Xenopus tropicalis: one gene and its partner. The protein of the gene in region 2 binds, or shares a complex with, the protein of the main gene of each other region. Links are inferred from orthologs where the notes say so. Each region holds a gene or a part of one and is shown on either strand. Other genes may lie near its edges.

Region 1 (4,454 bases), on a different chromosome or scaffold from region 2:
AATGACAGCACTTGGTTGTTAATGTGTACAGATTCTTGAGACTGAAGAGAATACCTAGAACCTCCCATCGGGCCCTGTGTGCTTCCTGCTGGTTCTTGCCTCTTTGGAGAGTTTCTAGAGGGTGCTGCCTGTGCATTGGCACAAGTATCCTGGTTTTCTGTAGGATATCTGTGAGTGGGTGGTGTGACTGTACTTTGTGGAGCATCCTGCTGTTGATATTTTATACTCTCTGGGACTGGCTGCTCATTCTCTGTTCTTTTTTGTACCTCAAACCTTGAGGTCCCTGCCACCTCCTGATGACTTACTGTTAATTGCTGCCCATGGCCTCTTGCACTACCTACAACTGAATGTCCACTGCCTGTTCCCTCCTGTATATCAAACCCAGAACTTCCTGCCACTTCTTGTCCACCTTCTACCATTGTAAATGACTCCGTCCTGGAACTCACTGCTATTCTCTGCCCATTTCCTGACAGCTCTTGGGCCTGATAACTTAAACTCCCTGCCACTCTCTGTCCTGTCCCTACAGCCTCTTGTCTGTGGAACCTAGAACTCCCTGCTCCTTCCTGCATCTGGAACACTACATTTCCTGGTACTTTCTGCTCACTTCCTTCTGCTTCTTCACCTTGGCATCTCAGATTCCTTGTTCCACTCTGCCCACACTCCATACCGTGTTGTCCCATCTTTACATCTTCACTTTCTGCTAAATGGTAGGCCGTGGAACTCTCCTCTTCTCGTCGTGTGCTGTCTGCTTCTGCTGGTGCTCGGCCCTGCAACCTCTTTTTGCAGACCCTAACAACCTCATCCATGTGAAGGTAGCTGGCGGCTGCCAGAACATCCTCAGCTGGTGCCTCCTGGAAGCTGAGTCGGCCACAGTACATAAAATTAAGAAGCAGAGAAAATGCTGGTGCTGTAACAATCTGGCTATTTAGGGTGAGGTCCCGTGTATCTGGATGCTCCCTGCATGACATGTGAAAAAAGGGGCTGCAAGAGGCCAGGACAGAGCGGTGAGCCAGAAAGTGGGCAGTACCAACTATCACTTGGCAATCGCACAGAAAACCTTGCAACTGCTGGTCACGTAAACTGTGCAGGATACGGCGACTGTGATCTGGAAACTCCATGACTGAAACAGTAAAGAGAGAAAAACAGCATTACATTTACAGAGCAAGCAGTCAAACACTCTAGTCTTTCAAATTATGCAAGTCATATCTGTAATATTTGCAATAATGGAGTATTGTAGATGATGACAAATGATATTAAATTTATCTGTCCACTTAATAAATAGAAGTTAAAAATACAATAGTTGTTCCCACCTCTGTTTCAGATACAGGCAAACTACTTCACCTCCAGCCTCAGTCCTCTCTTGGTTAATTAAAAGAAATGTCAATAGCAATAGGGTATATTATATACACACTGCGACATCAGCTTCACAATGTCAACATTTCAACTAAAATACAGCATTTCATTTTCGGTCACGTGATCCAGACATCCTCTTTACCTGCACAAAGCAAATCACGAAAACCACGCCCTTGCCGCCAGCCTATTGGTCACTTTCTCTCCGGCCCGTCCCCAATGCTCTGGTTGGCCTGTAGAGTTGGTTGTGGACAGTGGTTGTAGCCAATGCGCAACGTACTAGACAGCGGGATCCCCGGTAGCCTCTAGGTGGGTGTTCAGTTCCGCAGCTCGGTTCCTCTCGATTCTCTACATTACAGTACACTACATTACACACCGAATCCTCGGATTACCCGGAGCCGAGCCGGTTCTGCCACACATCGCTGCCTCACGTCATTTCCTGTTGTGTGACGCCAACAAGCGGGGACATACAATCGCGCCGCCTTTTAAACGAGCTTTATTGTTCCCGGAATAGAGCATATTGGGTACATCGTGCAGCAAAGAAAGTGACTGCGGGGCCACGGAATGTTCTACCATGTAAGTCCAGTGTCTGTTTTATTGCTTTGGGCATGAATTATCACAGGCGGTAAGTGTTTATGTAAGTGTACAGAATCCTATGTGACTTATTGCATCATTTTGTAAGTGTTGCTTGTTTTCTGTGAAGCCCTTTACCTGCGGGTTACTAGGTCGGGTACAGCTGTTGTATGTTCCTGAGGCACTGGCCTGGCCTCCTGGATCCTCCTTATATGCCTTTTTGGACCATAGAGCAAACTGTTTTATGTGCTTGGCCAGTTCACTATAGTACATTCTCGAAGGCCAGACTATAATGTAGTGACTAAAGTACCCCCTGTTGTAAAATATAAGGCTATTATAAGTCACCTAGGACTTCCTTGACCATATTAAAGCAAGAGGCCAAAGGCAGAGTGATGGAACTCCTGGGTGACTTCTAATATCCTTCTATTTATTATAATACACGTGTGAGTCGTGTGACGGAAATAACATCACTAAGCACCAGTTATAAGGATATAACTTACAGGATATTCATGGCTTTTGTGTATTATATAGTGAATTAAGTACCAGGGCTGTGAAATCGGAGTCGAGGAGTCGGAGGCAATTTTGGGTACCTGGAGTCGGAGTCGGCAAGAAATGAACCGACTCCTACTAAATTTAAATGGGAATAAAAAAAATTAAAATAAAGCAAGTTTAAATGTCCCAATTCACAAACAGTCATAATTAATTACTTCTCTGCTATAAGAATAAAGCCCAATGCAGAGCCAGTAGTTCTGTAGTTAAATGACATGTATGTCTCCTTCCTTTCCTTCAATGAATGTATAAAATACATTAGCATATTAAAAACAGAGGAGTCGGAGTCGGAAGTATCAGAAACTGAGGAGTCGGAGTCGGAGAATTTATCTACCAACTCCACAGCCCTTTTAAGTACCCCCTATTCTAAAATATAGGGATATTATAAGTCAAACTGTTTTCCTGTAGTTGGCCAGTTCACTATAGTACATGCTCGAGGGCCAGACTATAATATAGTCACTAAAGTACTAAAGTTTTGGTGTAGCTAGTGGATTATTAGTAATAGCTATTGGTAATTAGCTAATAGCAATTGATATCGAAGAGGACAACATTGGAATGGTCCGATCAGTGTCTATATCAGCCAGTTAGGCCACAGTCATGTGATGCCATTTTCTTCTTGTTTTTTTTTTAATCCTCAGATCTCATTGGAACATGAAATTCTTCTGCACCCTAGATATTTTGGCCCTAACCTTCTCAACACTGTCAAACAGAAACTCTTCACTGAGGTAGAGGGAACATGTACTGGCAAGTAAGTACATATGTATGTAAGTAGTTTTGCATGTATACACTGTATTTATATGCACTAGAACAGTTGTATGTTTTCTCCTGCACATTAGTGCCATTGTACTGCTGAGTGGCGCTATTAGCCCCATAAATTATCTGTTGTCTCCCTGCAAACTTGTTTTCGCCTGCCACCATGCAGAACCCCTTTATGGGCCTGTGTTGTTCTCTAACACAGCTTTTTCCACAATGTCTCAGTAGTTGATGTTGCACTTAAAGGGTGGGCCAGACTCTGACAGTTCGGGGGCATTATTACATTTATCCTACACCTATCAGGACTTTGGTCTGACATCCAAGCCTGATGCCAATGACTGAGCCATTTGGGAAAGGAGCTGTAGCACTGGTCTGCAATGAGGGGCTGTGGGAAGGCAGGGGGGCCACAGTGATAGTGAAACTCTGCGTGTTTCATAAATGCATTTTTAATGTTCCTTTTCGTCTCTTCACAGGTATGGTTTTGTGATTGCAGTGACCACAATCGATAACATTGGTGCTGGGGTGATTCAGCCAGGGAGAGGGTTTGTGCTTTATCCCGTCAAGTACAAGGCCATTGTCTTCCGTCCTTTCAAGGGTGAGGTGGTAGATGCCGTGGTGACCCAGGTTAATAAGGTGAGAGCAGCACAAAGCAGTCATACAGTCTATTAATTTAAATTAGGAGAGCGTCCTCCTGCTGCTGTAAACTAAAATCGCATCATGCCGAGGGGAAACTAGAAGTTGGTAATGTAGACTGGAATTTTACACAACTTTTCTGTCCCAGTAGCATTTGTTGAAACATTAAAGGAAGAGTAACACTAAATTAAAGTACTTAAAATATAATGTGCTGTTGTCCTGCACTGGTAAGTCTGGTGTGTTTGCTTCAGGAAAGCTACTATAGTTATATTAATATATAAATAAGCTGCTGTGTAGCCATGGGGCAGCCATTCAAAGGAGAAAAGGCTTAGCTTACATAGCAGATAGCATATAAGCTCTCTAGCATATAAAGGTGTTCTACATTGCCTAACTGTTACCCCATGCCATTTATCCCTATTTCAATTGCCTCCATTGATACACAGCAACTTGTCTATATAAACTAGAGCAGTCTTTCTGAAGAAAACAGATTAGTGATACTAGTGCAGGGAAACAGTACATTATATTTTAATTACTTTAAAACACATTCATTTTTTTGGTGTTACTGTTCCTTGAACAGCAAATAGCAGTACCATGTC
Region 2 (4,155 bases):
AGCAAGTATCAGCAAGTCTTGCCATTGTCCAGAGAAACTGTAATAATGATTTCTAACACAAGATTTGTGGATACTGGAATGAGGCAAACTTTGCCAATCTTTCTACTTAAACCCAGAATATTTCAGAAAAGAGAATTGTATTTTTAGCTTATCTAAAATTCACAAAGGTCCAGTTAGTGCAAAATCTAATCACTACTGTCCCTATTCCTGTAACCAAATCTGCCACCTGAGGAGCTGCAGATCTTCATGGACTGAGCTGCAATTGCTTAAAACACTAATGGCTGGAAGAACAGGACTTTGCTCAAGTCTGACATTACAGGGACTACTGGAACTGAAAACAGTAGCAAAGTCATAATTAGTTAGGACACCTGCCATGTGTTACTAAGAAAAGCAGTAGCCTGAAGAATCATAACAGTAATGACAAAAACTATAAGTAGGAAAAAGCTGAATTGGGCAAACAGTTTCCATAATAGTGCTGAAAGAGGAAAAAATAGTTAAAATTTCCAAGGAACCTTAAAAAAAAGAAAAAAAGAGGGGATTTTCAGCATTTCTGTAATGTACAGAGCCTTTATTGGAGTATGTTAAAACACACACTGTTTAATGATGTCATTCTGACTTTGCACATTTTTTATATATTCTGGGCATACATAAAAATAGAAAATTCAGGACAAACACAAAGCAGCACAAGCTGTTATATATCTAAAGTGTGAATGTCTTCAATCTGTATTATATTACAACTGTTATATGTTTTACATGGTCACTTATTTGCAAACCTGTAATAGGTGAAAATCAGTTTGGCTGGTGAACATTCTCAGCATCCTCAGACAGCCTCTCTGAGAGTAACACAAAAATGCCTGTTCTGAACACTCACATGTCACTGTCTGGCTGTCATCAGATCACTTGCTAAGTGGTACAGATTTAGCAGTCTGTGAAGGTTGGAAGCACTCTTTCTGTGCCTCTCACACCTGATGAGCAATCTCTTGTATCTTCTGTAGCATCTCTTCAGACTGCAATTGCTCAAGTGTAAGAAGTGACAGTCCCAGCTGGTCCTCCTAAAAAAGAAAAGCATAAAATGGTAAGTTTTTTGCAAGATGAAATACAGTGGTCAATGATATGGCAGAGGATGCTAATCCAGTTACTCCTTGAAGTGAAAAAGCAATCAGTGTTTTAAATTTATACCACAAATATCCTGTGAGCTATAACCTTATATGGTGTTTAGTGATGTCATTTGTGTCACATGACTCACTGAAACTTTTATATTAAAACTAATAATGTACTCCCTATTCTAAAATATGAGAATATCAGAAAGCACTTTGGAGTTCCATAACCTGTATGAAACACTTGTGCTTTTAATTAGTCATGGAACGTCTCAATTAAATAACCAAAAATTGTGTTTATATTCAGTAAGAAATAATAGATTACACACATTTCCAGATTTATGGCTCTACAGAGAGCAATCTTTCTGTTTTACTAATGATCACTTTCATCTCTTAAGGTCCCCATACACGGGCCGATAGTAGCTGCCGATATCGGTCCCTTGGATGGTGTATGGGGACCTTTACTCCCATGGTTGATCTAGTCAGTACCAAAAACCTATCAATTTTCCACATTTAACAATGATCAATTTCCTTTTTCAGATAATTATCTCTTTAGCTTGCACACTCCCCCTCAGCCAAAAAATTCTGATCCGTAACTCGTATTGTTGACATAACTGCTTTTTTATGCTCTGCCTTACCGCCTTCAATGCTTACTCTGAAACAGAAGCAATTGGCAATTAACATAAATCTATTTCATGCAGCCCTGCTGCAACCACTCCACAAATGTGCCCAGAACCACCAGCCCTGGCTAAATCCGCAGACATGATTCCCGCAAGTGGACTTCCTCCATTATAAATGTCCCAACTCTGCCCTCTCCAAGGCCAAGCAAGATTCCATAGTACACTCATAAATAATAAATCAAATTCACAATGATTGTTTTCCCATATTTAGCTCCCTGCCTCTCTCTTACTGCAAGCCTCTAAGCTCTTTCTCAAATTACTAACTTTCTCTGCACTTATAATCTGCTTGACCCTATGCAGCCTGGTGTTCAACCTGCACACGCCACTGAGATGGTTTCAGCTTAGTGTGGGGTGCCCTATTGCTCCATACTCAACCCTCTGTTGCTCTCCTTGTACATTTTTTAGAAAACCTTATCTCTTTGGCCTTTTATATTGCTTATATGCAAATATCATCCAAATATACATAGACACCCCCTCACTATTCACTGACATTCAGACCCAGATCTCTAACTGCCTACTAGCAATTTCTTTCTTGATAAACCAATACCATGCAAACTGAACCTAGCTAAAACAGAGTTCATGATCTTTTTACCCAAACCTGGCTTTTCTTCTTTTACCATTACTACCGATGGCATGACCATTGACCCTGTTGATTTGGCATGCTTCCTGGGGATTATCTTTGACCAGCCCCTCTCCTTCTTAACATATTTATGCCAATGCAAAAAACGAAGATTTCAACCAAAGTATTGAAAAGCTACACCCATTTCTTTCACAAGTAACAGCTCAAACACTAATCTATGCCTTTATCCCATCACACTTAAGGTGGCCATACACAGGCTGATTTCAGCTGTCGATGTCGGTCCTTCAGATCAACTCAGCAGCTTATCTGTCTGTGTATGGGCACCACCGACGGGCCTTCCTGACCAATGTCTGGACTGAAACTGGACAGATACAGATCACGCAGATTTGATTTTTCCATCAGATTGGGGACCGCATCAGCACGTTAGCCCATAGGTGGGCATATCAGGTGGATATTACAGTGTATATCCACCTTTAGACTACTGCAACCTCCTACTACCCACCTCTCACCCCTGCAGCTAGAATCCTCTTGTCATCTCCTAAGAGGCAACATGTTCACCCCCTAGTAAAATATCTATCATGGCTGCCTGTTAATCAAAGAATACCATACAAATTAATTTTACTAACATTCAGAATCCTTCAGTCCTCTGCTCCTCACTACAAATCCCTTACTTGTCTGCCTGTTCATCTTTGGCTGCCTCCTCCTTTTTCTCTTAGAGTCACTGTCCTTTCACATAATCCACACCCACTGCCATCTTTCATTATAAATCTTACTATTTTGCTGCTCCTTACCTCTGGAATTCTATCCCTGAATTCCTCTGTAGGGAATTCTCACTCAACCCCTTCAAAAAGAAAGAAACTCAAATCCTATCTTTTGGAGCACTAGAACATTACCAGCTAAGTCTTGGAACTTAAAGATCTGTGCCCAAATCTTTGTGCACTTTGCCCTCCTATTTTATGCCTGTAAGTTACCCACCCACTCCTATCACATGGCACTTAATTACTTTCCACTTATGTTTATTCATTGTAACATTGTCTTCCGAGTGTGTACTTTTCTATACTGTAAAAATATACTAGTAGCGCTTTATAAATAAAGTCATTCATATATACATGCTTATATTACCTCAGCACTCTGCAACCTATCTAATGATAAATGAATACTGTGCAAAATAGGGCAAATTACATGATGCAGATCATACAGCCAAAGCATTTTTTTATGCTGGGTATGGACAAATACACATAACACTGCAAAAGAAAGAATTAAATCTTAAGTTGGTCAGAGGAACAGTCTTACCCTGCGGAATGGTTGAGCCATTTGTCTTAGGAAGTGTCGGGCTAGATGTACACTTTCATCCAGTGTAAGATTTAAGTTTGCATCTGTAAGGTGTTCTTGAATCCAGAGTGGCAGCTTTCCTCTCTTATCAGAACGTGCATACCGCTGTAACAGTAAAGCAGGTATGGGAGCAAGAGTCAAAGAGAATCAGCATTAGTAAAATAAGGACAATAAGAAACAGCAGCTACTAAAAGCTGGGAGAGAGTGAGGTATGTGTATATGTGTGGTGTGGAAGATATATTAAGCAGTGTATGTTAGAGTGGATGTATGTTCTAACACGCCGAGAGCATTGTTGGTGGTTTAAAATTATTTGGATATTAAAGGTGAACAACCCCTTTAATGTGAAAAGTTGGATACTGCAGAGTGTGTCAGAGCACAAAGGCAAAGTTAAAATTATGTGTAATATCCATAGACCTGCAACAATTATCTGGCATGGTCATATCATGTTGAATTCATTGGAATAAAA

What was found.
Region 1: ercc2 (region 2) and polr2g share a complex: the UniProt entries of both Homo sapiens proteins name them as parts of the TBP-based Pol II pre-initiation complex. The link is inferred for Xenopus tropicalis from reciprocal best matches to the Homo sapiens genes ERCC2 and POLR2G.

Annotation. Positions count from the first base shown.
Region 1 is NC_030680.2:34,586,635-34,591,088, reverse strand, and holds the start of polr2g (DNA-directed RNA polymerase II subunit RPB7), read left to right. Parts: upstream 1-1,646; 5' UTR 1,647-1,914; coding exon 1,915-1,926; intron 1,927-3,110; coding exon 3,111-3,220; intron 3,221-3,698; coding exon 3,699-3,858; intron 3,859-4,454. Other genes in the region: zbtb3 (zinc finger and BTB domain-containing protein 3), read right to left, coding at 1-1,118. UniProt on the Homo sapiens protein: Core component of RNA polymerase II (Pol II), a DNA-dependent RNA polymerase which synthesizes mRNA precursors and many functional non-coding RNAs using the four ribonucleoside triphosphates as substrates.
Region 2 is NC_030684.2:70,786,010-70,790,164, reverse strand, and holds the end of ercc2 (TFIIH basal transcription factor complex helicase XPD subunit), read right to left. Parts: intron 3,795-4,155; coding exon 3,651-3,794; intron 1,053-3,650; coding exon 960-1,052; 3' UTR 539-959; downstream 1-538. UniProt on the Homo sapiens protein: ATP-dependent 5'-3' DNA helicase. Component of the general transcription and DNA repair factor IIH (TFIIH) core complex, not absolutely essential for minimal transcription in vitro.